7 separate regions of the Mus musculus genome follow, and regions 2, 3, 4, 5, 6 and 7 are each reported to be linked to region 1. The links are microRNA targets in miRTarBase. Many come from high-throughput screens and were not tested one by one. Region 1 holds a microRNA gene; each other region holds the end of a gene's coding sequence.
What was found. The annotated mature microRNA mmu-miR-124-3p reads UAAGGCACGCGGUGAAUGCC and lies in region 1 at 1,135-1,154, opposite strand. An mRNA with a match to its seed (bases 2 to 7 or 8) in the 3' UTR can be bound and repressed. Matches are read on the target gene's strand: a 7mer-m8 pairs with bases 2 to 8, a 7mer-A1 pairs with bases 2 to 7 and ends in A, and an 8mer does both.

Region 2: the mRNA of Icam1 is a reported target of mmu-miR-124-3p. Seed matches in the 3' UTR shown: 7mer-A1 at 930-936.
Region 3: miRTarBase lists Car3 as a target of mmu-miR-124-3p. Seed matches in the 3' UTR shown: 7mer-m8 at 669-675.
Region 4: the mRNA of Cln8 is a reported target of mmu-miR-124-3p. Seed matches in the 3' UTR shown: 8mer at 1,018-1,025.
Region 5: the mRNA of Gstt3 is a reported target of mmu-miR-124-3p. Seed matches in the 3' UTR shown: 8mer at 3,051-3,058.
Region 6: miRTarBase lists Eci1 as a target of mmu-miR-124-3p. Seed matches in the 3' UTR shown: 7mer-m8 at 749-755.
Region 7: the mRNA of Mkx is a reported target of mmu-miR-124-3p. Seed matches in the 3' UTR shown: 7mer-m8 at 2,944-2,950.

What each region holds. Positions count from the first base shown.
Region 1 is chr2:180,891,172-180,895,236 of GRCm38, reverse strand. Mir124a-3 (microRNA 124a-3) reads right to left here and starts at 1,197; the gene lies at 1,130-1,197.
Region 2 is chr9:21,027,693-21,031,757 of GRCm38, forward strand. Icam1 (intercellular adhesion molecule 1) reads left to right here. Exons shown (of 7, transcript NM_010493.3): 7 at 79-1,122. The coding sequence ends at 254. Icam4 (intercellular adhesion molecule 4, Landsteiner-Wiener blood group) reads left to right here and starts at 1,740. Exons shown (of 3, transcript NM_023892.3): 1 at 1,740-2,131; 2 at 2,245-2,550; 3 at 2,690-2,904. The coding sequence starts at 1,762. The coding sequence ends at 2,802.
Region 3 is chr3:14,871,126-14,875,190 of GRCm38, forward strand. Car3 (carbonic anhydrase 3) reads left to right here. Exons shown (of 7, transcript NM_007606.3): 7 at 417-1,256. The coding sequence ends at 536. Among named protein-coding and RNA genes, the nearest start is that of Gm41999, 9.1 kb to the left of the region's middle.
Region 4 is chr8:14,896,207-14,900,271 of GRCm38, forward strand. It overlaps Cln8 (CLN8 transmembrane ER and ERGIC protein), which reads left to right. Exons shown (of 3, transcript NM_012000.3): 3 at 325-4,065. The coding sequence ends at 648. Among named protein-coding and RNA genes, the nearest start is that of Cln8, 9.7 kb to the left of the region's middle.
Region 5 is chr10:75,771,096-75,775,160 of GRCm38, forward strand. Gstt3 (glutathione S-transferase, theta 3) reads right to left here. Exons shown (of 5, transcript NM_133994.3): 5 at 3,027-3,915. The coding sequence ends at 3,718. It overlaps Ddt (D-dopachrome tautomerase), which reads right to left and starts at 2,279. Exons shown (of 3, transcript NM_010027.1): 1 at 2,121-2,279; 2 at 1,643-1,818; 3 at 138-411. The coding sequence starts at 2,228. The coding sequence ends at 339.
Region 6 is chr17:24,438,508-24,442,572 of GRCm38, forward strand. It overlaps Eci1 (enoyl-Coenzyme A delta isomerase 1), which reads left to right. Exons shown (of 7, transcript NM_010023.4): 7 at 442-809. The coding sequence ends at 608. It overlaps Dnase1l2 (deoxyribonuclease 1-like 2), which reads right to left. Exons shown (of 8, transcript NM_025718.3): 3 at 3,898-3,986; 4 at 3,726-3,809; 5 at 3,545-3,645; 6 at 3,351-3,463; 7 at 2,989-3,240; 8 at 2,261-2,602. The coding sequence ends at 2,549. Among named protein-coding and RNA genes, the nearest start is that of Dnase1l2, 2.6 kb to the right of the region's middle.
Region 7 is chr18:6,933,660-6,937,724 of GRCm38, forward strand. It overlaps Mkx (mohawk homeobox), which reads right to left. Exons shown (of 7, transcript NM_177595.4): 6 at 3,509-3,542; 7 at 1,307-3,395. The coding sequence ends at 3,206. Among named protein-coding and RNA genes, the nearest start is that of Mkx, 69 kb to the right of the region's middle.

The sequences.
Region 1 (4,065 bases):
GCAACAAAATACGAAGTAGCAACGAAAATAATTTTATGGTTGGGGGGAGGGGTCACCACAACATGAAGAACTCTATTAAAGGGTAGCAGCATTCTGAAGGTTGAGAACCATTGCCCTAGGTAATAGGGCCTGTAACCTTGGGGATCGGAAACCTTGCTGGGAGGAGACATGCCAGAGCAGAGTCTCATACCAGGACGCCAGCAGGTGGCGCTGGCTGCCGAGGACAGGAAAAAAAATGCCTGCAGCAGACCTGAGTGGGTGTCACTGCGGCTGCAGATGGTGGTGGGGGAGGGAGGAGGAGGATTTGTCATTTTCTCTCTGGGCTGCAGAGCCTCACGTGCCTCGCGTCCCGCATAGCTGGAGAGAGGTTTGGGGGCGGGATGCGGTCCAGTGTATCCACCCAGATTTAGACCTTGGATGCAGATGCAGATCCCCCACTTCCACAGCTCGAACCTCAACCTAAGGTTCAGGGGTTTCTTCAGAATCAAAGTGATCACCGCCTTCACCCTGCGACCCCAACTAGAGCGCCCAGGGGACAGACTGCAGTGACCCCAGACCCTACCCCATTTCTCTGGGGTTGCTGCGGCAACTATCCAGGGCCCCCTAGATGGGAACAGTGATACTCATGACATCCCTTCGCCCCAAGCGCATTAGCGCCCCGTCTCTCTGGGTGACTCCACGGCCAGCACCGAGGACAGCGCCCAGGACTGCCCGTGGGTAGCGGGACGCGCCAACACAACCCGGGAAGCTGCACACTTCCCTCCCGCGCCCCTCAGCCCGCCGCTTCCCCAGCCCCTCCCTTTGTCTTCTGGCCCTCGTCTCCCTCTTCGGGATCTCGAGCACTCAGAGCTGCGGACACACGTGGTCAGGGGCCGGGTGGCCACATTCTCCCCCGCGGTCGCCCCCACCCTTCTCGTGACGTCCTAGGCATGCGGGCCCCTTTGTGTCCCGCGGCCAGATCCCCGGCCCAGCAGCTGGGCCGCCCTCTGGGCGGGCGCATTGTTCGCCGGATTTGTCCGCGGAGCGAGGGGCCACCGGGGGCCGGGGCTCGCCTTTTTCCCGCGGGAGGGGCGCCGCGACGGCCGGGCTCCCGGGCCATTTCCATGAGAAAGGAGCGGCGGAGGCGCCTCTCTTGGCATTCACCGCGTGCCTTAATTGTATAGACATTAAATCAAGGTCCGCTGTGAACACGCAGAGGGGCCCTCAGGGCTGCGGCGGGCGGCGAGCGGCTGGACCGGGTCGGGGCCGGGCTGCGGCTTGCGTGGGGTCCTAGCCTGAGGGGCGCGAATGCTCCAGCTTCTTCGCCGCGGGGCGGGCGGGCGGGGCGGGGCTCCGCGCTAAGCTGGCAGTGCTGCCCTGGTCCGCCCCCAACTCCGAGGAGCCAGTTTTCCTTCCCCTCCCCGAGGTAGAGAAGGGCCCGGGCAAATCCCTCGGGGCGTTCCTGCAGTAGGGACCCCTCGGAGCCGCGGCGAGGGAGATGCAGGAGCCGGCCGGGGTGAGCGCGCGTGCTCCGGCCTGCTGCAGTCTTCTGACGGGTGCAGAGCCCTCTCCACCCCGGCGGCGCAAGCCTCTCCGCAGCTGCCCTTCCCCGGCTCCTCTTCCCGGCCCCACCAGGAGTGCGTGAGTGCGGTGAAAATAAAGAACCTCGATGTTCGGAGATGAAAAGCAGTCTCTTTCTACAACCCGCCGAGCTCTCTTCTCTTACGCCTCTGGCTGGCGAGAAGCTGCTCGAGGAGAGAAAGACGGGGTGACCTGAGAGACCGGCTCGCCCCGGCACGGGCCGCCAGCGCAGTTACCCGTCCGGGCGCGAGCCGCCGCCGCCTGCTGCTTCTCGGTTGCCGCCTCCGCTCCGCAGCACAGCCTGCGCTGTCGCCCGATCCCGCCTCCGCCTCCTTCTTGGCGCCCGCAGGACCCGCACGCTACGGCCCCGGGTGGAGGAGAGCGCAGGGACAGTGCCAAGGAAGCCGGGCAAATTCCTGAGGGCCGGGTGGGAGCCCGGCGTCCGCGAGGTCGGCACTGCGGGAGTCTGACTCCCACTCTCCTTGCCTAGACCGGGTGCGACCGTCCCCGCGCTCGCCGCCGCCGCCGCTGCCTCCGCTCGTATCCGCGCTCGGCTCCGGCACCGGGCGATTATCACTGGGGCGCGCGGTGACGTCACCCGACACCGGCTCTGCCGCCTCCTCTCGGAGGTGTCCTTGAGAACTGAGGGGCACGCGCACCGCGTACACGCGCACTCACGCACCGCGCGACCCGTGCCTCCCGCGCACACGCTCGGCGTCCCGCTCCGCGCGCTCCTCGACTCACACGGATGCAGCCCTCGAACGCCTTCGATTGTGCCCGGCGCCCCGGGGTCACACGTATGCAGAGAAACTGCCTCTTGGACACTCTCGAACCGCTCATTCTGTCCTACTGCACGACCCACGCAAAAGCTTCTCCCGCAGCCCACCGACCGCAGCTCCTCTACACCCACCACCAGCCACACCCCGCTGTGCAGCGAACACACTGTGCTTGCCTCACACAAGCGGCTGGTCCTTCCGGAATAACCACTCTACACAGTGGCTTCTGAGCCTCTCTCTCCTGGGGGGGGGAAAGAAAGGGGTCCTAGCCTCCTGCTGGCGGCCCTATGTGGAGAAGGGAGTTAGACATCTCCCCCAACCCCCATCAGAGACTGCTCCCCTTTTTCACCCTTTTTCTAGCTGGGTAGCGAGTCCTTGCTTACGAGGATGGGAGAAACACAGTCCATACTTCACAGTTGACTGCAATTGAATCTACTCTTTGCAGTCTATTGAAGGGTGACTACCTTGATCTGGGTCTTTAGGGCTAGAGATCAGCGGCTTTCCAAAAATAAAAAACAAAAAAAAAAAAAAAAAAAAACCCACGCCACTCTAGGCCTTCCCAGCGGGCCTTTGTTCCTGCAGACTGGAAGAACCACACAGAAGTAGGCAGGCCTCTGTCCTATCCTTTCTCCCTGGGCCAACCCAGCCCTTGACCACCTGCCCTCTAACAGAAGCTAAATGACCCAGGCATAAATTCTTCCCCCTCCCTTTCCAACCTTCTCCAGCCCCGTGGGAACCCCCGAAGACACTCAGCTGGGAAGGAGGTAATCTCCGGAGATCTCATCCCACTGCCCGAAGGTCCTCAGAGGGTCAGGATACTTCTCTCCCAACCCCAAATCCTTCCCTTTGCAGGTGCCAGTCTCAACCGACGCTAGAGAATCCCCTCTTACACAGACAGCTAAGCCCACCTTTGCTTATGCCCAACCCAAAGTCAAGGAAACCACCCACGGCCTGCCAGCACCTGCAGCCCGAGGGACACTGGCTGGTGGCTCAAGAGTGGAGGATCTAGACTCCGAGCAGAGGCTACTCCCTGTTGGAACCAGCTCCTCTTTGCCTGGCCAGTGGTCCCTCTCCCTAGAGGGTACTGGGTCAGGTCCCCAGCACCGTCCATGACACCAAACCTTCACGGTCTGCTGTCCATGGTGTAGACAGCAAAGCCTGCCCGAATCGCTTCCCATCCGCGGAGCCTGGATCCTCGCCCAGAAAAGGCGCTCCCAGGACAGCAGACCCTTTACCATCCCTCAGCCCCACCCTCGGCTTTTGCAGTGGTCTAACACATCTCCGCTTCTAGCCTGCCCAGATCTCGTTTCTATTCGGAGGGTGCGCGGGGGTGGAGGAGGCACTCCCAAAGAGCCTCGGATTTAGGAGCGCGCTTGCTACGGGGCCGGCTCCGTACAGCGACTCCTCAAAGACCAGTTCCCTTCCCAGGCCAAGGACCTCCCTTCGGCCTCCCCTTACTATTCGTGAGAGATATTTACAGCAAGCCAGAGCATGGTACATAGGGAGTCTGGGAGAGCACCCCTTCCATGGGTCAAACCAAGTTTAATTTTTTGCATCTCCGCCGAAACGTGCCTGCGCGTTTCCTCCTGGTACTCCTATGCACTCAGTCCGGAGCACCCGGTTTCTCTATTTCCAATTCCCTGCGTCCTGCCGCCCGGCCCTGAAGGGCTGGGGGAAGGGTTGTCCTGGGTGTGGGGGTGGAGCTGCCTGTGCGCTAAGAGAAGGGGAG
Region 2 (4,065 bases), not on the chromosome of region 1:
GGATATAAGGCTGGATGAGGGGTGGGCTAGGTGCCAGGGCCTCAAGTCTCACCATTCCCTTCTGTCTCTACCACACAGACCACTCTCAAAATAACTGGACTATAATCATTCTGGTGCCAGTACTGCTGGTCATTGTGGGCCTCGTGATGGCAGCCTCTTATGTTTATAACCGCCAGAGAAAGATCAGGATATACAAGTTACAGAAGGCTCAGGAGGAGGCCATAAAACTCAAGGGACAAGCCCCACCTCCCTGAGCCTGCTGGATGAGACTCCTGCCTGGACCCCCTGCAGGGCAACAGCTGCTGCTGCTTTTGAACAGAATGGTAGACAGCATTTACCCTCAGCCACTTCCTCTGGCTGTCACAGAACAGGATGGTGGCCTGGGGGATGCACACTTGTAGCCTCAGAGCTAAGAGGACTCGGTGGATGGAGCAAGACTGTGAACACGTGTGACCCGGACCCACCTACAGCCCGGTGGACCTTCAGCCAAGAAACGCTGACTTCATTCTCTATTGCCCCTGCTGAGGGGCTCCTGCCTAAGGAAGACATGATATCCAGTAGACACAAGCAAGAAGACCACACTTCCCCCCGACACAGGAAAGCTGAGACATTGTCCCCAACTCTTCTTGATGTATTTATTAATTTAGAGTTTTACCAGCTATTTATTGAGTACCCTGTATATAGTAGATCAGTGAGGAGGTGAATGTATAAGTTATGGCCTGGACCCTGCTGCAGATGCTGTGAGAGTCTGGGGAAAGATCACATGGGTCGAGGGTTTCTCTACTGGTCAGGATGCTTTTCTCATAAGGGTCGACTTTTTTCACCAGTCACATAAACACTATGTGGACTGGCAGTGGTTCTCTGCTCCTCCACATCCTGGAGCGTCCCAGCACCTCCCCACCTACTTTTGTTCCCAATGTCAGCCACCATGCCTTAGCAGCTGAACAATCGAGCCTCATGCTCATGAAATCATGGTCCCAGGCGGCTCCACCTCAAAGAGAAAGCCTGGAAGGAAATGTTCCAACTCCTTAGAAGGGTCGTGCAAGCTGCTGTGGGAGGGTAAGCACCCCTCCCAGCACAGAAACCTTTCCTTTGAATCAATAAAGTTTTATGTCGGCCTGAGTGTCTTGTGAGTTTGTGTACAGTCATCACATCAGTTAGGCAAAGCCCTAAGGACTGCCGACTCCCATAATGCCTCAGGGTTGTCTGGTAACCTAACCCTAACTCTGAGTCTGTGGATCAGGTTGGTCCCCACCCCCACCCCCTTTCTTTTTTGAGACAGGTTCTCTTTGTGGCCATGGATGTCCTGAAATCTGCTATGTGGAATGGGCTGGCCTTGACTTCACAAAGATGGGCCAACCTGTCTCCTGAATGCTAGGACTAAATGACAAAGCCACTGCCATGTCTAGTAAAATCTACGTTAGATAGACAGGGTTTCCCAGTGTAGATCAGGATGGCCTTGAACTTACAGAGATCTGCCTCCCTGGGAGTGCTGGGATCAAAGGCATGTGCCATCACCAAGCGTTATTTTATTTTTTAATTTTTAAAGACTTCTTGGGGCTTACGTAAAAACTAAAGAGCAGGTCCAGAACTGTGCAATGGCTTTTGGTTGATTGTAGGGTCTGATGGGAGGGGAGGCAGGTATCTTCATCAGGGCCGGCCGAGGCCCATTCTGGGGCGTGGCCAGGGTGCCTTCTTATCTCCTGCGGCCAGCCTAAACTCCCTGGCGTTCCGCCCGCACTTCAGCGCGGGCTTTGTGCCATGGAGTCTGCCCTTCTGCTCCCGTCGCTTTTGCTGGTGGCTGCCTATCCGAGGGGTGGGAGCCCCCAGCAAGAGTGGATGCAAAGTCCTCCCGCGCCTTCCGTGACCTCAGCACCTTTCTGGGTGCGTCTTAATCCAGAGCTAGAGGCCGTGCCTCCCGGGGGCTCAGCGTGGCTTAACTGCAGCCACAACTGCCCCCTGCCGGTGCATTCCAGCCTGCGCACCCAACTGCGGCAGGGAAAGATAGTTAATGGATCCGGCTGGGTATCTTACCAGCTACTGGATGTGAGGGCCTGGAATTCCAAGGTGCGCTGCGTCGTCACTTGCGCAGGAGAAACCCGAGAGGCCACCGCCAGGATCACTGCTTACAGTGAGGGAGACCGGGGCTCAGGCCGGGCTGGGGTGAGGGGAGAGGGGTGGAGGAAGCGGATAGATGGTAATTGCTTTAAGGGGTGCCTGTGGGCCTTATCTCTCTTGCCTTAGAACGGCCCAGAAGCGTGATCTTGGAGCCTCCGGTCCTAGTGGGCCACAAGTACACTCTGCGATGCTATGTGACACACGTGTTCCCAGTGGGATTCTTGGTGGTGAGCCTGAGAAGAGGTGGCCGAGTGATTTATCATGAAAGCCTGGAGCGCTTCACCGGTTCAGATTTGGCTAATGTCACTTTGACCTACGTGATGCGGGCCGGACTCAACGACCTCTGGCAGCCACTCACCTGCCATGCGCGCCTCAATCTCGACGGGCTAGTGGTGCGCAGCAGCTCGGCACCTGTTATGTTGACAGTCCTCGGTGAGGCATCCTGTAATCCCAGGGAATGGGTGCGGGAGAGGGGATGTTGCCACTCCAAGGGGGCCTGCAGAACAGGCGTGGGCTCCACGCTTGGCGGTCCTCAGACCTCCTAGTTCCTGATTTTCACTCCTGCCCACAGCTTTAAGCCCAGCCTCTATAGCCTTGGCCTCTACCTCCATCGCAACCCTGGTGGGGATCCTCCTGGCTGTGGGGGCTGTCTACGTGCGCAAGTACCTGGCTGTGCAGACTTAGTTATAGATCTGTTTTCGATGCCTGACAAGAGGGAGGGGAAAAGAACTTCAGAGTAATTAATTCAGAGACTCTTATTGAAACAATAAAGTCTTCCTCCTCAGTCTCTGCCTTACGGTTCTTGGAGAAAGTGGTTTCTTTTTTAAGGTACCTTACTTTTTCCAAATTCCTTACGTAGGGGCTGAAGATTAGTAGATTAGAGGTAGTACTGGAGGAAACAACACCTTGAAATTTCTCCTTCAAGGCCAGCATGGGGTCCTAGAACCCGAGTTCCTCTGCGTAGAGTTTTGTTAGCTTTATTTGTGCGGGGCAGAAAGACTAAACTGACCTCCCCTCCAGGGCTGACTCTTGGTATGGCTTTTTCTGATTGGCTCCGCTGATACAGGCCGGAGCTCTGATTGGAGGCTAAGTTTCCCTTCTCCTCCCTCCTTTTCCACTACGGAGCCTGTGCGTTACTAGAGAAGGCCAGCGGGTGGAGCTAGACCTGATTCCCCAAGGTTATCATTAATTGGGGGGGGGGGGGGAGGTAGAAACACTCGAGTAGGCGGGGCCTTCTTCAAGTAGTAGAGGAAGCGGCTAACTAGATAGGAAATCTAGCATAGCAACAAGTTAAGAGATGATTGTTCAGGCCACGTGAGCTGTCACAGACTTGCTTCCTGGCGTTGTGCTTGTTGTCTCCGAGTCTGGTATGTATGTAGAGAGGGATGTCAAAGCTGGGGTCAAAGTGTCCCCAGTTGATCTTTTGGTCCAGCGTGAATTGCAGAATCTCGCACTAGTTACCCAGTAGAGGCGGCCACACTCCTGGCGAGGAGGGCGCAGAAGCTCTGCTGAGAGACTAGACACACAACAGCGTTGTAGACACATTCCCGCTGCACTCTGGGTAAATAAAGATCGGGTGCCGGAGTCGACTCTAATTTAGAAGCCTGCGAACGCTGCGCACACGCACACGTGTCCGAGTCTTGCTGGCACTTGATCCCCCTCTTCCTTCGCCGCGTGCGCGGAGGAGGTCTTAGGGGCGTGGCTCCCATACTTAGCCTGCTGGAGGTCAAAACGAAACCTCAGTTAAGGAAGGCATCCTCACATTCTCCTCTTAGAACCACATTTCCTGCATACTATTGACTCCCCAAGCTAATACAAGCAACCTCTCCATCCACCCTTGCTCAAACAGGCGCTGGTGGGAGGGACCGAGGATGGGCGTGGCTTGGAGACCCAGCGCGTTGTCTCAGACTCTATACCTATGGTGGTGGGTGTTTGGGCAGGGCCTCT
Region 3 (4,065 bases), not on the chromosome of region 1:
CACACTGAACCACCTCAACTACCAAGACATGATATTTTTTATGAGAATTCCTCATTTTCTGATCCCTTAAGAAAAAGAATAGTACACAGTTTAACATATACCCCGTTTTAAATTTCTTTCTAGTCCTTTAAAATGTAATTCCATAAACACTTGACTTGATTACACTGTGGGAGCCTTTTGAAGTTTTTCTTACGTTCAGGCATATGATACATCCCCATCCCCTCTATGTATATAAAGTTCATGCTGAACCCTGGTGTGGAAGGTGTAATTCTGAGAGCAGGGAATTCTGGATGTAAGAAACGGTCTATGTTATGAGCTGGGGCTTACAAACTCAGGACCTATCCCTGGAGCCTGGCTGTGGTTTGTCTGGCCAGTTAGAAAGCCTGTGGTTTCTAACAGTCTGCTTCCTCTTGCAGATGGCCAAGCTGCGCAGCCTCTTCTCCAGCGCAGAGAATGAGCCCCCGGTGCCTCTGGTGGGGAATTGGCGCCCTCCTCAGCCTGTCAAGGGCAGGGTGGTGAGGGCCTCCTTCAAGTAAGGCTCTGAGCTTGCCCTCTTCGGGCAAGAAACTCTGCCCCTGAAGAGCCTGCTTGTCTCCTCCTGGTGCTCCCTACTCCAAGCTGTCCGACAACACCTAGAGGAAGAGGAGAAGCAGTCACATGCAACCGCAGTGCCTTTTGACATGATCTCACCCAGAAGCATGAATTTCACACCTAACATTCTTAATAACCACCTGTTCTAAAAAAAAATAATAATAATTAGTATTTCTAGTATGAATTCAGTGAGGAAGAAATAGATGGAAAAATAGCGATAGAGAACAGTGGCTCACTGAGCATATTAGACTCAGAATCTCAGCACTCCTACTTTCAGGCTGAGTTACAAATACTACAGAAGTGATGGGCCCATGCTATGTATCCGGGTATGGAGGAGTATGCGGACCTTACCACACTTAAGTGAAAACACACGTTAACATCATTGTAGATCTCAAAAACTGAATTCATAATGTGTTTTACTTCAAATAATACCAGCGATAATCCATCACTCGTTAAAAATTTGCCTACTACCAAGTTTGCCTGGTTTTAGTCACCTATAAAACACACCCATGAAGCCAGGTGTTTTAAAATGTTTGATCCAGCATTTAAATTTCTTCTTCATAAAGATGGTTTTCTTTGCCCAAAGTAGAGCCATTTATTTTTTATTTCACTACTTTAATCTTTGCATGCCTATTAAAAACAAAAACAAACAAACAAAAAAAAAACAAAAACAGCAACAACAAAAAAAACTGTGTCAGGTGTCTTTTGAGTTGGAGGCTGGGATGTCTGGTTCCTGGAACAGGAAGGAGGGAATGTCAACACTGAAGCCAAGAGCTTGCATTGATCACAGAAACAATAAAAGACAGATGGCAAATGAAAAGAATGTGTGTCTTTTCCTTAAACTGAAAATTCAGGGTAAGTCACTTGTTTTAAGGTAACATATGAAGTGACAAGCTTCACTATGGCAGTGTCATTCGTGTTAGTGATTATGCTTAGTTATAACTCAGCCCTCCATCACTGCCCTCTCCAGGTGACAGCTTCCCACAAAGTCCCCTCCTCTGCTTTAATAGGAATTCCATTGGCCTTCTTCTTTAAGATCTCTTTCTCCCCTTCATGATCCCTTTTCTAGTTTCACGACTACACACATATGTCTACACACATATAATTTTAATTCTGATTTATATGAATGAAAGGAGATATTCAGTATTTATCTTTCTGAGGGCAAGGCAATCGGTAAGGGAGTCAGACCAAGCTGCCAACCTGGGCAGTGGGTGTTGGCCCATCTCATCATGTGAGTGCTCCCAAAGCATTAAGTCAAAGTTGACGAGGACTCTGGGATCCAGGCCAGTGCTATGAGCTAGTGCTCTTTTTAGTCATAACAGAACCTTTTATATCATCTTTTTAAAAAATGTACAAAAAAGTACCACAAAATGACATGTCCCGACAGTGCAGGAAGACATATATCGACTTTTGATACATTTAATGTTTCTAAACACAAAGTCCAGTTGCACAGCCAAAAGGTGGTTATCTTTCAGCTCTGAGTGGCTGATGTGTTAGTGACTGTAGAAAAGGGTAGCAATAGGCAGTGAGAACAGTCCTGGGTCCGGGAGCCCCGAGGCACTGGAAGTCAGACCATGTGATAAAGTCCTGTGAGGCTGGAGTTATTTAATAGATTACCACTTGGGTGAGGCAAAACCAGGTTGGTCAGTGTGAAGAGGATGTGTTAATTAAATCCCTTGAAATTAGGAGGTGTGGAGCTCTGATCATTAGTGGTAATACACAAGCTGCTTGTCTCAGGGCATTTAGCTTGTAATGTTCAGAGCTCTGTAAAGACTGTATCCATTATTTAAGCTATGTCTGGGAGGCACGTGGTCTCACACTGATTAAAAATGGTTACTATTCTAGTGCCTGGCTGGACAAAGCTAGAGGAGGCTGTCTCCCTGGACCTTGTGGCTGTGCTCCACGAGGGCATAGGCTCTATTTCCACCATGGGCATGGCACCATCGGCACCTAATACTGTGTCCAGAAGAATTGAACCACTTGCTAAGGTTTAGGTGAACAGATGATATCATGAAAAAGGTTCACTGCCACAATAAACGTCTTTTGGAGTATTGAAAGCTGATACGTGCTTCTGCATTCAAGGGCCACCATTTTCCAGATTGAGTACAGGCCTCCAAACAATTGCACCTCAGGCAGTAGAGCTTGTAGAGCAGTTTGCCATGAGCTGCCATCTAAAATGGCTCTGGAACCCGTCAGCCTTATTCTTCTGGGTATAATTGCAGGTATCTTAGCATTTCAAAGTGGGGAGAAGCCAATGGTCAGATAATGGTGTGCTTGAAAGCCTGCAGGGAGGATGGCAGCAGGTGGTAGGCTGAGGGGTGCAAATACTTTCTAGTTCCTACATTTATAAATTATTATAGAACTGGGGACTCCAATGTAAAACATTTCAAAATTCAAATAACTGACTCATTTCGTAGACAAGTGAGAACTATTCTACGTAGACAGTGTATGTGTAGACAGCTACAGTTCTCAGCATCTAACTGGGGCCATTTATGTCATTAAACAAATCTTATTGAGATGAACAAGTCCTAAATAGGTACATAAGATACAAGAATAACAACCAACACAAGCAAAATTAACCTAAAAAATTAGCTGCATAGTCCAATAACACATTAGCTGCATTTACTGAAAATTAGTTCTAGATATTCTTCAATTTAAGAATGAACTCTGGGCACGTATAGTATATAATTTAGCATAAAATATAAAATTATTAATAATAAACAAGAACTCTATATGCCAGATTTTGTTCACATTTAATGTATGAAAACTTAATGAATTTTAATAGATGAATCCCTGGGAGTGAGACTTAAATTGTAAGATCTAACCATGTTTACATGTTATTTTCATTTTGGGCACTAGATGGCGATAAAATCTCTGTTGCAAATTAATAGCTCTTAAAGCCACCCTATGTTACAATCACGTAGATGTCTAAGTTGCTAAGTTTTTCAAACTACTTTGAACTGACATCATGTTTCCTTTGCTTACAGGTTTAATATTTTCTATTAATAGTGACTGATCAAAAAGATGAAGGATTTTTACTTATTCATAAGAATCTTAACTGAAAAAGGGAGGTGAGGCTAACTGGGAAGCACTCACTGGACTGCGAGACTGATAAACACTGAGCATATAAGGTCCTATCCCGTATGTAGACAGATGGGAAAAATCACACAGCGTCTGCTGGACAGGAGCCTACGGGGGACTGTAGTCTGCGTGCCTGTGTGGAGGAAAACAGGATCTATAGGGAGAGTTAAAGAATTAAGTCAATACACTTAAAATATAACGAAGTGTCATTCTGACAAATTTCTCAGTAAGAGTTAACACTTATCCTTTTAAAATTAATTTTACTTCATGTTAGAAAATGTCTAATGGCTTATTACAATCCCAAGTTCCCGCTTTCATGTAGCTGTTTGCAGTGTTAGGGATCTAGACTTCATCTGTTCAGACGAGAGAAAGAGGTATGAGCATTCTCACTTA
Region 4 (4,065 bases), not on the chromosome of region 1:
GAAAGCGCTAACAAGAACCAGGTCACGCAGCCCATCCAAATTGCTCCAGGGTGTGTGTGCTCAAGCTACTACTAGATAAGCAGGACCTGTTGGCTTTCTGATATGTGCTAATTCAAGATAGAAAAGATTGGAGTTTTGCCTTTAAAGTAGGAAGGCCAGCCAGGTAAGGTGCTGGCTCTGGCTTTATCCTTCCTTCAGAATTGAGCCCAGGAGAGCCAGTACTGGCGAGAAGCCTAGTGCTTTGTTCTGCGTCTGCGGCGCGTGAAGGGCACAGATGTCTTTTCCCCTTTCCCATACTGACACTCGGGTTTGCTTTGTCCACAGGCTGGGTGGTCAGACTCCCTGTTCTGGAAGGCCAACCAGTGGCTAATGATCCACATGTTTCACTGTCGAATGATCCTCACCTACCACATGTGGTGGGTGTGCTTCTGTCACTGGGACGCCCTCACCAGCAGCCTGCACCTGCCCCACTGGGCACTGTTCCTTTTCGGGCTGGCCCTGCTCACGGCCGTCATTAACCCTTACTGGACACACAAGAAGACCCAGCAGCTCCTCCATCCCGTGGATTGGAACTTTGCACAGGAGGAAGCCAAGGGCAGCAGGCAAGAAAGGACCAATGGCCAGGTGCCTCGGAAAAAGAGGTTGTAGCGGCGCCCACCCAGGGACTGGGTGGACCATGATGCCGACTGGGGAGTGTCCAGGGTTGGACAAAGCTCCACAGTGACTCTTTACGTATGGATGGGGACATAGATAAGTTTATATCTAGGTGAATACTAACTTGTTCCTTACTATGAATTCTAAAGTACCCATGAAGTATTGCTGGGGCCTCGACGTGCCTGGAAGAGGTCTTTGCCATCATGACTTTCCTCTGAGTCTTCTGGCGTGGCCCCAACCACAGCACATCTGCCAAGGCAGTGCTAGGGAAGGAGCAATGGCAGCCAGGTGTGCAGGCTGCTGAGGAAGCCAGTCTGGAGCCCTGCGACGATTCATCGGGAAGGACCTCGTGTGGGTGTGGGTGTGCCTTATTTGGAAGTCGTGTTCTTTTTCATTGCAACAAATTGACCCTAAGAAAATGTGATTTGCTGATCATATTTATTTACTAGCCTGGGGAATTTTAAGCCCGTGGCAGTGCACTGCCCTCTAGTGGCAAGAGGCAGAAGGACAGAGTTATGGTAAGGGGTTCTCCTTGGCTTACTAGAGTCTGCCCACCCCTCCTGGAGTGGTGGTGGTGGTGTGAAATCTTGTACTTCAAAAACAAACAAGCAAACAACAAAAAACCCCAAGGAACCTAATAACCTTTTTGAAAAACAAAATAATGAGAATTTTTAGTGATATATTTCTTATTTGACAGAATAAGGTGTCTGGAGGGGGTCCTGTACTCATCCTCGTGTCGCTCATCCTGAGTCGCTAGGGCCCCGAGCAAGCACCTTGCCTGACATGACCATGGGAACATGTTCTCGCCGCGCTGTTTGCAGGTTAGACCTCCAGACACCGGCTAGCAATGCTATCGGCAGACACAAAAACTTTCCCAGAGAACAGTTAAAGAACAAGGGGGTTTTTGTTTGTTTGTTTGTTTGTTTGTTTGGGTTTTTGTTGATTTGTTTTGTCAAAACTACCTGAGAAATGGTGGTTGCTCTTGAAAATCATGTGTGACTTAGGCTTGCCTCAGCAGCCCTTTAACTTTATGAGGATGTATGATGCCTATTTTATTATAAAGTAGCCCATTAACTTTATGAGGAGGTATGATGCCTATTTATTTCAATCTAAGAAAGCCCTTACTTTGTGTTCCTAAGATAATCAACTGAACTGAAAACCCTGTAGCTCCTGTGTCTGCTTTGTTGAGGCACCAGCCTGGCATTTTTGTTTTTTTTTTGTTTTTTTTTAAGCTGGGCAGAGGCTTAATATAGTGACAGCTCTTTCCAAAACCCAAACATACTTCCTGTCTGATAACGTGACCCGAAGCTCACCTGAGTGCCTGAGAACACTCTGCGTCCTGAACATGTTGGCAAGTCTTCAATGGGACCAGGATGGGGTTAGAGAGTGTCTTAGTCGGGCATTTCTATTCCTGCCCAAAACATCATGACCAAGAAGCAAGTTGGGGAGGAAAGGGTTTATTCAGCTTACACTTTTCCACATGGCTGTTCATCACTAAAGGAAGTCAGGACTAGAACTCAAGCAGGTCAGGAAGCAGGAGCTGATGCAGAGGCCATGGGTTGATGTGACTTACTGGCTTGCCCTGGCTTTCTCAGCCTGCTCTCTTAAAGAAGCCAAGACTACCAGCCCAAGGTTGGCACCACCCACAATGGGCCCTCCCCCCTTGATCACTGATTGAGAAAATGCCCCACAGCTGGATCTCATGGAGGCGTTTCCTCAAGGGAGGCTCCTTTCTCTGTGGTAACAACAGCTTGTGTCAAGCTAACACACAGAAGCGGCTGGGACAGGGAGATCATCTGACTTTCGCTGGCCTCTACAAGGAGTGTGACCTCAGGTTACATCCTCCGTCTTCACGTGTGTCAGCTGAGTGCCATTCCATAGCTCAGGTGACCTTTGGTCACTCCACACACATCTCCTTTCTGACCAGGACTTCTCCCCGGAACCTTGGAGACAAGTATTCATGAGAAGGCTCTGCAATGGAGCAAGCACTAGTCCCTGCCTAGAGTAGTGGCTCTCTCGCCATGATTTTTTTAATACAGTTGCTCATGCTGTGGTGATCCCCAACCATGAAGTTATTTTCGTTGCTACTTCATAACCGTAATTTTGCTATTATCATAATTAAATATCTGCGTGTCCCAACCTCTTGTGAAAGGGTCGATCGACCACCAAAGAGGTCATGACCCACAGGTTGAGAACACTGGCCTAGAGAGGGGCCACCCTTCCCAGCTATAGTACCTTTGTGGTCTCCAGTGTCCTGCCAGACAGATCTCGGAGAGGGGCATGGTCCAGAGGACACGAGGAGCCGCAGCTCACTAATGTGAGCCTAGGCTGGCCTGCTCTGTGGCCCACACTGGCCAAGATTCCACTGCACGTGTGCCCCACTAGACTCCTACATCAGCTGTTAGGAATTAGAATGGGGTATCGCTTGGTAGTAGAGAACTTACTTAGCATGTAGGAAGCCTTCCTGGCTTCTGTCTTCAGCCACTGGAGAAGAGACGCTCTCCTACTTGACCGGTATGGAAAATCAAAAACGTTCTCCCTTTCTCGCCACGTAGATGTTTTACATGTTCCCATGTTTTCAACAGTAGAGGATGTGATGGTCAGGGGCAGCAGCCCAGCGTCTTCCCCATCTCTTCCCGATGGCTTGCCCTTTTCCCGATGGCTTGCCCTTGCCCCTTCAATTTAGCAACGAGGTTCCAACTTCTCTCAGCAGCATACCATAGGCTCCTCAAAGTAGCACTGGACTTGGTGCAGCAGAGCTAGTGACTGGCTGTGTGCTGTTGTCTTCTGTGAAGCCTATGGGTCACAAGGCTCTCCTTCCACAGACAGCTCCTCAGTAGGCCCTGTGGCTTCCACGGCAACATTGCTAGCAAGAGGCCATACCCCTACCTGAGCCCTTAAGTCTCTGTTCACACAGCCTGTGGTGACCCTCCTGATGGGAACTAAGCATTGCCTCATTCCTGTGTGCCGTAGGGGCGACACCTGAGCCTGGGTCCTAGAGAAAGAGCAGAGACTAGCCATTTCTAGTTTTGTAGGGTGGAGGTCCAAAGTCAGGTGCTGGCAGCTTCAGTCAGGAAGAGGCCCAGTACTTCCTACGTGGAATGTTTCTTTACCTCCAGGAGAAAGCTATGCCATATATCTAAGGAGCAGAAGGGCTGAAAAGATTCAGGAAGCCCAAGTGAGTTTCCTGGAGGCCTTTATAAGGATCACTGTCTGGACACATGGTGACTTAAGTGTTTTCTTTGGCTGGGGCTGTCTCTGATTGTGGAAGCTAGTGGCTGGGAGGAGGCCCTTGCCTATCCCCAACCATGGATGTAATGCGTCCACATAACCTTAGTGGGGCACATTCAAATGCTAGTACAAAAAAGAGTGTTGCCACACCCCGTGTCAGTAAGATCTCATTCGTTCCAC
Region 5 (4,065 bases), not on the chromosome of region 1:
ACCGCTGAGCCATCTCCCATCACACGGCAGCCCCACAAACAGGCGACATCCCACTCCTTTGCCCTCATGAACAAATCCCAACTCTAGGGTTTCAAGGATGCCAGAGAGGGGGTTACAGAAGCAAAGAAGTCATGTTTGAATGATATTCTCTTCATTTATTTGCTCTCTTTCAATTATTCACGAGGCTGGGGAAGAGAAAAATGGACCACTGAAGTCGCAGACGTTTAGGCAAAAGAGGGATTTACCATCCTATCTACCAGGCCACGATTCTGCCGGGAGGGCCTCTCTGGAAGGGCTCTGGCCCGGTTCGAGCAAACACCCTGGGTTCTTTGTTTCCGTCACAGAAATGTCATGACAGTTCCTTTCTTTCCGATCTGCCAAGCCTCCAAGGGGAAGAAGCGGATAACGATCCTTTAGGAGGAAGAAGGAGAGATGTCAACTCCTGCATACACCCCTCATTTGTTAAGGTCCCTGCCAGACAGGCCAGCCCATATCAGCCTGCAGGATATTTTGCCAATCTGCCCACCCCAGCTAATGATCCTTGCACCAAAGACAAGTCAGAAGAAAGGTGATGGCTATACCGGTCCCAGTGCAGACTTAACGCAATGGCTTCAATACCTGTGCTCTGTGCTCAGGTGAGCATGTTAGGCTGCTTACGGGCTAACAAACAGTCCCCCTGCTTCTAACTAACTGCATGCTCCTAAAGGCGTGCCCAGGGTACCAGGCACTTAGTTTTGAACCAAAGCCCAGCTCTAAGTGAGGCGCAGGTTCAAATCTGATTCAAATCTGTGGGAATCAGCAATTGCTCAATCACAGGACTCAGAGGAAGTCCCTGGCGATCGTCTGGCACCAGGGTGGTTGTGCACAGGGCTGACACCCTCAGGTTTCCATCTGTAAAACTGGCCCAATACAGTTATCTATGTCAGGAAGCTACCAAATCTGCCCTGTGCTGTGTGCACGAGCATTACCGTTAAGAAGTATTGTCCCCTCAACTAAAGGACAGCATTTGAGCATCCAACAAAAGCAGCCATTACCAACTTTCCTGAGCCCACTAGGACTCCATTTTGGAAGGCTCTTTCAAACTTATCTCCGTAGTTCTTCACAGGCCCGCTCCAGCCTCAGGAATATGAGACTCTAACTCTGCCTCAGAATGTAAGGATGGGGAGGGGGGAGGGGAGGGTCACCTTGTGGGGGAGGTCTTTTTATCATCCAGCAACTCTCCCGGAGCCTTATCTAGTTCAAAGGTTATCTGCCTCAGGACACAACCAGATTCCCTCGGACCAGCCTGGAAAAGTTCTCCCTTAAAAAACCAGACCCCCTGGTTCAGTGACGGTGAGGAGGCCACTATCACAGTGGTTAAGAGGGTGCCTAAGTAGATTCTCAGTACACACAAGACTACACTGGGGCTTCCCAAACCATCCTTTCTCGGGGCTGTAGAGAGTCGAAGGAATTGAAATCTTGCTAACATTCTGATCACAGACCCACCATTCCAGTGCCTGAGGAGTCCACCTTCGTGGACAAGGACACTGAGTGCTTTCTGGAACCAGCAAATAGTGACACCCCCCCCCCCCCCAACCTCATACAGAGAGACTGAGTCCTGACTCCAGACGCACAAATACGTTCCCTCACTGGCCCTGCATACCGGTCCTGGTCCAGGGACAGCTCCTCGGTGAGGAACTTGAAGAAGCTGGCGCTGTGAGTGCGGTTCTGCTCCGCGGTGCCCACAACCCCGATGGAAGAGACCAGAAGGTGAGCACAAGGCTCTGTGGATTTGTTCATCAACAGGGTCATGCCAGGTCGTATCGTAACGCTCACGCGCTGCAAGGAACACAAAAGTTAAATCCTGAAGCTTGGGCAGGGCATGGCTGGTGTTCAGAAGGGGGCGCGCCAAATTCTTAACGTGGGGGTCCGAGGGCTCCGGGTCTGGGACACTGCCCAGGATCCTTGGGAGTCAGTCACGTCAGGGTCACGCCTGGGAAAGACAACCAGGAAGGGATCTAGGAAGGGAGGATAGGACACGGAAGGTCAGAGGTTACCAGGGGAGTGGGGTCCCTGGGGATGGGAACGGGTCATTGGGAGGTCCGACCCTAGCCCACAAGTTCTCGCCGACCCTCACTCACGTCTTCGGGTTTGTCCAGGATGGTGGCTGTGGCCGCACACAGCCGGTTCTCCAGCCCCGCGGGTATGCGGCTAGCCGGCAAGTTTGTTTCCAACTCAACGAATGGCATGTTAGCGGGAGAAGAGTGGGATCGCCAAACGGTAACTGCACCGGGTGAGCTGTGGGAGCCAGTAGAGGTTCCAGAAAAGGAGCGCGGGGAGGGGCGGGGAGGAGGCGGGGCCAGGGAGGCGGGGCCGGGGAGGGAGAGCACAGCTCTGTTTCTCATTGGCCAGGCAGACTCGGCCCTTCTAGATTGGCTATCAGAGATACGCCTCTTCCGCTGTCACGTGTGCCGGCTCCAAATTACTGGTCCCAGGTTCACTACCTTTGGCCCTCCCAGTCGGCAGGTGGCTCTGTTTTTCCCTCTGAGCGTCCCAGCTAGTTGCCCACAAGGCATACATTTCTATAGGAGACTTAAAGGCTTAAAGTTTCTTAAATGATTGTGATCATTTCAAACTCAGTACGGGAACCGCACTTCTTTTGAACAATCTTGAGACCAAATAGCACGTGAGGTGTGCTTAGGCAAGACCCTAGGACAAGGGCATCTCTCTCTGGTCCCTAAGATACCTGAGTTTGTAAACTCTTCTGTCAGGGATAAATCATTGTCCATTAGAGAGTGGTAGAACTACTTAAAACAAACCAATCTGGCCGGGTGGTTGTGGTGCAAGCCTTTAAAACCAGAACTCTGGAGGCAGAGGTAGGCAGATCTCTTGAGTTCTAGGCCAGCCTGGTCTACAGACTGAGTTCCAGGACAGCCAGAGCTACACAGAGAAACTGTCACACACACACAAACCGAAAAAAGCAATCTGTCCAATTACACATAGGAAAGTGTGCATACTAAAGGATCCAGAAGCAAAACCATTACTCTTCTGTTAACAATGTATTTATTAGGTAAGGCACATAAAAGACGTCTTATGGCACAAGATTAAGTAGCTTGACAGTTTGGAGCCGGAGACAGGTAGAAGGCAGCAGTCAGGGTTAGAATGCTTGGGACAAGAATTTGGAAAGTCAGGACATACCAAGCAACTTCCACTCCCACAAAGGAACCAGCCCTGCACCCCACCTATGGCAGGAAGCAAAGACGCAGAGGACAAAGGTCTTTCACTAGTCAATCCCCGTCTCTTGCATGTATTCAACTGAGAGATCATAGATCCTGCATGCCAAAACTGAGGAAGGGAGGCACCAGGGTTGAGGAGCACAGAGGGTCACGTGGTACCAGATATCAATTATATGTATATGTGTATATACATGTATATACAAATATGGCTTGGAGGATGGGGGAAGGTTCAATGGTTTGTAAAGTTTCAAAGAAAAGGAATATGGCCAGATACGTTTCTCCCAAGTATTTTCCTGGAGCTCTCTCCAGAAGTCAGATAAGAACTGATGTTACAGCACAAGCCAGGTGGGGACACAGAGGGAACACAGGTGATGCAGAGAGGAAATTGCGGACCAGAGACCCTATGTCCTAGTGACAGCCAAAGAGCCAGACAGCCTCATCTCTTCGCTTGCACGGCCCCGAGTTTCCCTTGACCGTCTGTCTCCCAGTTCGAGCTATTCCCTCAGTGTAACAAACACTGCACAGAGAGCTTCAGCTTCTCTTTCAAGGCAGGGTCCATCAAGGGAGGCATATCCTTGGCCTTCAGGACAACTTCATGGGCCTCCTGGAAGAGGCTCTCCCCCACTTCGGCTTCTACTCTCTGACGCCAGGCAGCCAGTTTGGGTCGGCTCTCAAAGATTTTGCAGCCAGCACTGACAGGCTGTGGGGAGAAGGAGTCAGGTAGAGGGGATAAGTTCCACAATCTACAGGCAGCATGCCTGCCAGTATTTCCCCCACTATGTTGTCCCTTCCCCCACCATGTGTGAAGTGCCTCTTGATACCCCTATAGAAAGGATTTATGAGAATTTAC
Region 6 (4,065 bases), not on the chromosome of region 1:
TCAGGGGACTAAAAGAGAAGTGCTACACATCCAAGACCATCCTGAGCCACAGAGACTGGCTCAGCAGCAACAATAAAAACTGTCTTGCACTGGGCAGTGGTGGCCACACACCTTTAATCCCAGCACTCAGGAGGCAGAGGCAGGTAGATTTCTGAGTTCGAGGCCAGCCTGGTCTACAGAGTGAGTTTCAGGACAGCCAGGACTCTACAGAGAAACCCTGTCTCGAGGGGCTGGGGTGGGGGACTCTAGATGGGATATTGCTATGTATTTCAGGCTGACCCTGGACTCCTTAGCCCACCTTAGCTGCCCTAATGCTTTCTCTGATTTTCCCAACTCTAGGAGAGTTTATATTTCAGTACTTGAGGACTCAAGTGTAGAGGAGCCGGGAACGGCCCCCCACACTGCACAGGTGAGTTTCATAAGTAACCCTGTTTTCTTCAGACCATTCTCGGCAGCTGACAAAGAACATGATGCGAAAGGCCACCGCAGACAACCTGATCAAGCAGCGAGAGGCTGACATCCAGAATTTCACCAGTTTCATCTCCAAAGACTCCATCCAGAAGTCCCTACACATGTACTTGGAAAAGCTCAAGCAAAAGAAGGGCTAACCTAGGTGGACTTCTGAGTTCGAGGCCAGCCTGGTCTACAGAGTGAGTTCCAGGACAGCCAGGGGTATACAGAGAAACCCTGTTTTGAAAAAAAATAATAAAAAAATAAAAATAAGGGCTAACCTACAGCTGCCACATATGTGCCTTCTAGGGACCCACTGGTCCCAAAGATTATATATAAACAAGGTATTCTTCAACTTCAAAACTCTCTTAGCTCTTGTGTTCCTAACCTTAAAATGTCCTGTTTCAGGAATGGAGAAATAGGTCAGTGATTAAGAACACTAGCTGCTGTTGTAGAGGATGCAGGTTCAAATCCCAGCACCCACGTGGTAACTGCAGTTCCAAGGTATCCGATGCCCCCTCTGGCCTCCAAAAGCACTTCATATGAAGCATGTGGTGCATACACACATACATGCAAATATACATACATGTGTATGTACATATACAGTGAGTGTGTGTGTGTGTGTGTGTGTGTTCTAACAGTCCCACTAGCTGGGTGGGGTAGGTCTGTCATTACAGTGCTTCCCATGCTATGGTGAGAACTTGAAACAAAGCAGGACAAGGTGGATGCGCTTGACCCCAGTGCCGGGGGTGGGGGTGGGGGTGGGGGCAGGAACAGGCGGATCTCTGAGGCTCTGGCCGGCCAGCCAGCAAGTGCCAGTGAGACACCTCCTCTCGAAACAAGGTAGAAACTTGCTGGGCCTCTGGCTTATCCAAGTGTACGTGTGCATACAGAGGCTGTCCCTCGAAGCATGGGGCCCTATGGCTGCAACTGCAAGTGCCTTTCTGCCTCAGCCCAGTGCTGCTTATTCAGTGGTAAGGTCCTGAATCTTAGATTAGATTTTATGCAATCCAGATAGGCTTGCACTAAATCCTTGATTCAGTTCCCAGAAATGCCAACACAAACGACAAAACTTTTCTAATCCACCGCAAGGTTTTTTTCCCATGTAATTCATGCCTTTTCTCCAATCTCACTAAAGAGGTTTTATTGACCTTGGGCCTCCATAGTAGCACGTATGCATGTGTGCGTGCATGTGCATGTACACGTGCACACACACACACGACAAGTTTTAACAACTAGAAGCCTTATGAGAGCCTTGTGTCTACAGAGCTATTTCCTGCTCCTAAAGTGATGGCCCACCTGAGCATAAAATCTCCATCCTGCCGAGGCCTCGCCCAGCCCAAAGTTTTAAAGCTACTCCATGAGGCACCTTTGAACAGCTTGGCCTAAGCAGAGTGCAGGCTGGGTAGGACTCCGTGCCCAGCAGTTGCCTTTGCTGTAGGTTCCTTTTCAGAAGGTGGCAGAAGAGCTCACTAACGGGGTAGGTGTAGCCGCCATCGCTGCCGGCAGTGCTACGTGAGGCCTTAGGATCCCTGGGGCAGAATGATCAGGGCCTGCTCTCAAATCCAGCAGGGTCCAGAAAGACATTACCATCTGAGCTGCCACTGGGTGACTGGGTGATGATTCATACGAGCATTTCAAGTTCGCACAAAGGCAATAAGGATAGGGAGCTGGCATGGTGTGGAGGAGCCAGCATCCTCCAGGCTGGGAAGTGAACAACAACAATGGAAATAGACCTACTGGACAGTAAGACCAGGCTCTGCAGCCTCGGTACAGAGGTCTCAGAAAGCAGAGGCCCCATCCAACCTGTGGGTAGTCCTGGCCAAGAGCGGCTTGTTTATTAAGCATGCAGCTATGTGCCTGGCGCTGCTCGGTTCTCCTCACAGCAGCCCGATGAGGTAGGTGATGTTAGTTCACCTTGCAGATGAGGAAATGGGAGCTTTAAGGAGTCCTGTAAATGTGTTCACAGCCATTGTCCACACCAGCTGGTCCGACCCTGTGTCCTCAGTGGGTGGGTGGCCTGCCACCTGAATGATTCACTGTGGTGCCAGTCCTTGTGGTAATAGTCTGCAGGTGGCATATCCTGAGGCCTTGGCTCTCAGTGAGTCTTGAAAGTCACTTCCACAGGAAAATGGTCACTGATGGCAAGAGCCTGGAAGGAGAGGGGTTGGGGGAGTCTCAGCGGTTCAGCAGGGCAGCGTTTTCTCTAGCTGCCCCCTCCCCCCAAACATACACACACATACACACACACACACACACACACACACACCACCACCACCACCACCACCACCACCACCACCACCAAGAAGGCAGTGAAGGCTTGGTAGCCATTCTTGGGCCTCATACTGCCTCCATGTGGCAGAGAACAGAAGTGTGCCAACAGTCCCTTCCTGGGGGCTTGGCACTCTAAGGACCCTTGGCGATAATTGCTTTTGCTAGAGCAAGCATCAGTGTAAACTCCCAGCAGGTGAGCATTTCTGTGAGCCCTCTCCTGAGGGGGCTGACTAGTATGTCTGCTGGAGCCCTGTCCACACTCACCTGGGTCTGATCTAGGTCAAATTCCTCCTGAAAGTTGTGAACTGAGGCTGAGTGGGGCTTCAGGCTCCTGCGCAGATGGGCGCCACTCACTACAATCCGGTCATAGGCACAGTCTGAGTTGCCCACTGTGGTGTCCGCACTGTCTGGGATGAGCCATTTAAACACCTCACTGCTTCGAAGGCGGATCGATGGCCAGTCATGCGCCTTCACGTACTTGCAATCGGCATTAAAGTCACCCAGAAACAGCATGTCCTGTAGGCAAGCACAGCCAGTACATCTTAGCAGTGCTCAGTAGTCCAGACCTCTGAGAACACTTGTGGTCTGGGACGTGAGTTGGGGGCGGGGGGGGGGGTGTTGCCTACATCAGTGTTCCACTTGTCAATGACATCAAGGTACACATCGTAGAGCGCGTCGATCTCTGCCACCGCCTGGTGTGGTGCTGCATGGAGGGGGATCAGCACCAGCTCCTTGGTGGCTGTGGAAGGTGGGGGGATATGAGGGTCAAGGGAAGCCTGGAAGAGGTAGGCTTGTCTGGGAGAGGGCAGTATCAACTCACCACAGCTAGGAACTGAGAATTTGACCACAAAAGGCTCCCGGCTGAAAGCGTCCTCTGGGTCTGGATACTGGTACGTGCTCACCACTGACGCTACATCTTTCCTGGGAGCAGCAGAGAACAAGATGTCTGGAGCTGCTTACCTCTGCCCCAATGTGTCCCCTCCCCGCAACCCGCCTCTCACCTGTAAACAAACAGGTACATTTCCTTGTACTGGTCACGTCCGAGTGGCTTGCTGCTCACAAAGCCGTACTCGTGCTTGGACACTCTGCGGAGAGAGACGCCAGTCCCTGGGTCAAGGCACCGAACCAAGCTTGTGATCTTGGCTGGGGTTGTGGGGCCCAGCCCTGCCACACCTGTTAATTTGCTCCATGAGCAAGGACACTGCACTTAGGTCTGGGTCTCGTACCTCTTGCACCAGGGCGATATCATAGCCGGCCAGGATCTGGAGGAAAACCCACAGATGCACCGTCCCAATCAGCCTAATTGCCCAGAGCCTAGCTCCTGGTTCCCATCTGCTCCCC
Region 7 (4,065 bases), not on the chromosome of region 1:
TTTTGTCTCCAATCCCTATTCCACCTACACTTTTAGCTCCTATATACATATCACATGGAACAAATTACAGTATGTGATAGCATTTTTCATTTATTGATCATCTATTTTTCAGCCACTGTAGTAGGCATTTTACGTTTTTTACACTTATTTTACTCTGAGTGTGGAGATCGGAGGACAGCTGACTGGAGCTGATTCTTTGTACCACATGGGTTCTGGAGAGCAAAATTTGCTGTCAGGCTTCACAGCAAATGTTCTTTTCTACTGTTCCATCTTGCTGGCTCCTGCATTCTGTGTATCATCTACTGTTTCAATCCCTCAGAGTGCAATGTCTTGCTCATTCCTCATACTCTGTGTGCACAACACCTAAAGACTGAGTCTAAATCTCGCAGTTGTGTGTGGATAGGGTGCAGAGTCAGCACTGCAGTGCGGTTCTGCTGACTCCCAAGCTAAGCTCCTCCCCTGTACAGAACACAACGGTAATGGATAGGGGATCTATATGAACAAAGCTTAAAGATATGGAAGTATGGAAATGTCATGACAATACCCATGACTTGGTATGCTGATAAAAGTTTCTTTTTAAGGCAATTAGAATCCATGAATATGCAAATATGGAAGAGGAATGGTTATTGTATTATTTATGGAAAAAGAATTTAGTACAACCCAGTATTTGAACAGTCTGTGTTGTGTTCTTGTCCTTGGGTCTTAACAGGTGGGTTAGTGGCTTAAAGTGATAGAATTCAAATTTGGTCCAACTATAGCACTCCCAATCCATGAGCCACATGCGAGGCTGTTCCTGTCTCCTGCTCCCTCGCCCTGGCCAGCTTTCAAAGGCAAACAAATCCCATATGATCACTGAAGTCTAGAAATGAACTTTTATTTTAAATCTGTCAAGAACTCTTGACAGACTTTAATTTTATTAAAATACAACTGTAAAATAAGAGTGAGTCTCTTTCTCTTCAATATAAATTACATGTCAGCCGAGCTCTCAGCTGCTGGCTTGGCATTGCTCAAGGTGCTTTTAAGGGTCAGGGGGGCTCTGATTTCCAGATAAAACAACAGTAACACAGAAAAATAATAAAATGATTCTAATTGGAGACATTGCTCAGGATATGCTAATTACCTATTTTTCATGTGTGTATAGGCCAGACTCCAAGCTTTGGTATTTTAAAGAAATTATGTGGAGAGTATCCTGTCATTGGTTTGTGTTCATAATACAGAACAAATTAGCTGATTTCCCCCCCCAAAGGATAGAAAAATGTAAAACATGACAATTTCAAATAAAATACAACCCAAAGTTCACTTATCTAATCACAATATGTTAAAACAAGAACACTTTTATTAAAATATTTAATACCAGAATAACTTATAATAGTATGAGAAAGAGTGAAGTATTCGTTCTTGCTTCTCACTGCCTCATGCACATCTGGGCAGGCTTGTCTTGTAGTGATCCCCACTTGGCTGGCTGCACGAGAAGAACCCAATACTTCATCCATTCATACAGTCAGCACTGACACATCTCACCTAGGGCAACTGCAACTGCCAACAGCACTTGAGAAAACAAAGTAAAAATATACGTACAAAATATTTTCATATCAAATTATCTTCATTACACTAGATAACCCCCACCCCACTATGCTATGATACAGGAGAAAGTGTCCTACGAGGGCCATCAAGGCCGTCATGTCTGCTCAGCAACCAGATTAACTTTGGCATTAAAAGCATTTTGTAAAATAAAGAAAAAAACGTCAGCATGTGCTGTGAAACCAGATGTCATTCACACTTGCAAAAATGCTTTCCAGCCTAAAACAATTAGAAAATACATTACATAACCAGAAAAAAATTCCCCCGATAGCCTAGTCTTTTTTACTTTGCTGTTGAACGTTTGCTCTGTTTTATAGGCCATCTCCAGATTTCCTTTTCTACTGGGCATCTCCACATTCCTCTGGTTTGCAGTCTTCCCAGGCAGGGGAGGATGTTAATGCTTGATGGAAAAGACTTTTCTTTCTTGATAGCGATTGCTCTCACTCTGTGGTAGTGACATTTAGAAACAAGACTTTCTTTCTTTTAATGCAAGACTTCACTTAATTTCTATTTGAATGTCCTATCTGGCAAAAATCAGAGACTAAACAGTCTATGCTACATGAACATATTTTGCTACCCGTACATTTTAAATTTTTAAGAAATCAATTTTTCTGCATGTATATGTATATACACACACAGATTTTTTCTTCGTTGTCTTGTTCTCATTGCAATACAAATTGTCCATCTGAATTGGGATTTGAAATGAACCAAATAAAAAGCTTTTACTCACTCCACATGAAAGCGGCTTCCATCACACAGGAACCCTGAGCTCTAATGCAAACAAGATTATGATTTAAAACTAAACTTTAGGTTTAGCTTTACACAGGAAAAAATTTCAAAGATTTATATAATAAGACTCTTTTTAAAGCTTCAGGGAAAAAAAATCCCAATTAGTTGTAAAGGGCATTGGGATACTTTCCAGCAGTGCTTGGGAAAACAATCCTTGACTGCATTACAATATTAAAGTAGTTTGAAAGCATCTCTTCTTAAGTGTATGCATCATGTGGTCCTGCAGCACCTTTCATTTTGGATGCACTAACTGATATGCAAACAAAACCCACACATAAAATTCTCACCATCACACCGGAAGTTAAGGAAAAGAAAAAAAAAAAAGAAAGAGGAAAGAAAAAGAAAGAGAAAAAGAAAAAGAAAAGGAAAGAAAAAAGAAAGAAAAGATCACCTCATCTGGGCTGAACAGATTTCCAAGTTTGAACATGTGAATGAATGAAATTGTTTCATGGGCTTTCGGCGATTGGCTTCTGTCCTGGACCAGTGGGAATGATGCAGTCTAGCAAGTGTTGGCATTGATGGTTTGAGGCACAGCTCTTCACTGTGCCCACGTTGGGGCTTACCTCAGGGAGCAAGGCACTTACTGTAATGGTAATGCAGATACTTTATGCATAGTTTCAGTAACATAAAAATAAGTTAATATTTTTGATTAAAATGAGTTTTTATAACTTATATGTCTTTTTATAGAAGCAACTGATATATTTACGATAGTTGAACTCAGGAGTTTTAAGGGAGTCCTCTTCACCTCTGCTTTGGCTCTTAGGATGAGGATTTAGGTAAAAACAAACACAAACAAACAAACAACCCACTGACAGCTCAGCACTTCCTGGCCACTCTAGAAGCGCTGCACCAGTGGCAGCTTGACTGTCTTTACTTCTGCTATGTGGGAAGACTTCTGGATGATGCAACTGGTGGTCGTCCCCTGCACTTCATCTTTTCCTTGGGCAAGGTTTGTTAAGGCCATGGCTGCATTGATCTCCTTCCAGTATGTGTCATCTTTGCTTGGTCCCCTTCTGTTAGCAGCACTGCATGTGTGCAAGAAAGAAGAGGAAGGATCAGCGATCAGGCCCACTGTTGTGTGCCCTGGAGACAGTTTACCAGCAAAGCACCAGCGATAAATGAAACTCATTTTGCTCACCTGTCACCCTTAGTAGATCCGATGTCCGGGGTGTCTATAAAGAGAAGCACAAAGTCAGTCACTTGTCTCTTTCTTGGACTTTGTCTTTTAAGATTTTATCTCTCTCTCTCTCTTTCTCTCTCTCAGCTGTAAGTCAGCTGATGTGGGAGCCTGGAACCAAATGCAGGTCCTCTGAAAAAGCAGACACTGCTCTTGAGCACTGAGCCACTCCTCCAGTCCTGTTTAATCTTAGGAATTTCTTCATTATTGCCAAGAATAAAATTTTATCCAGAAACATGGCTGAAATTATTTTTCTTATAGCATCCCGTAAGTTATTAAGGTTACTAAGAAGCCAAGCCTTGGAAGGGCTGTACAGGGAGGCATAGTGACGATACTAGGTCAATGTTCTTGTTCATTCCTCACCTGTCAGCAACCATCAGCACACCACAACACCACACACAGTAGATGTATTGTTCCTCAACTCCAGAACAAAGACTTTCCTAGAAGCTCTTGGGGCTCCCCCAACCTTCATATTCTGCAATTTCCTGAGACTCCAGCCTGTGTGTGTATGTGTGCGG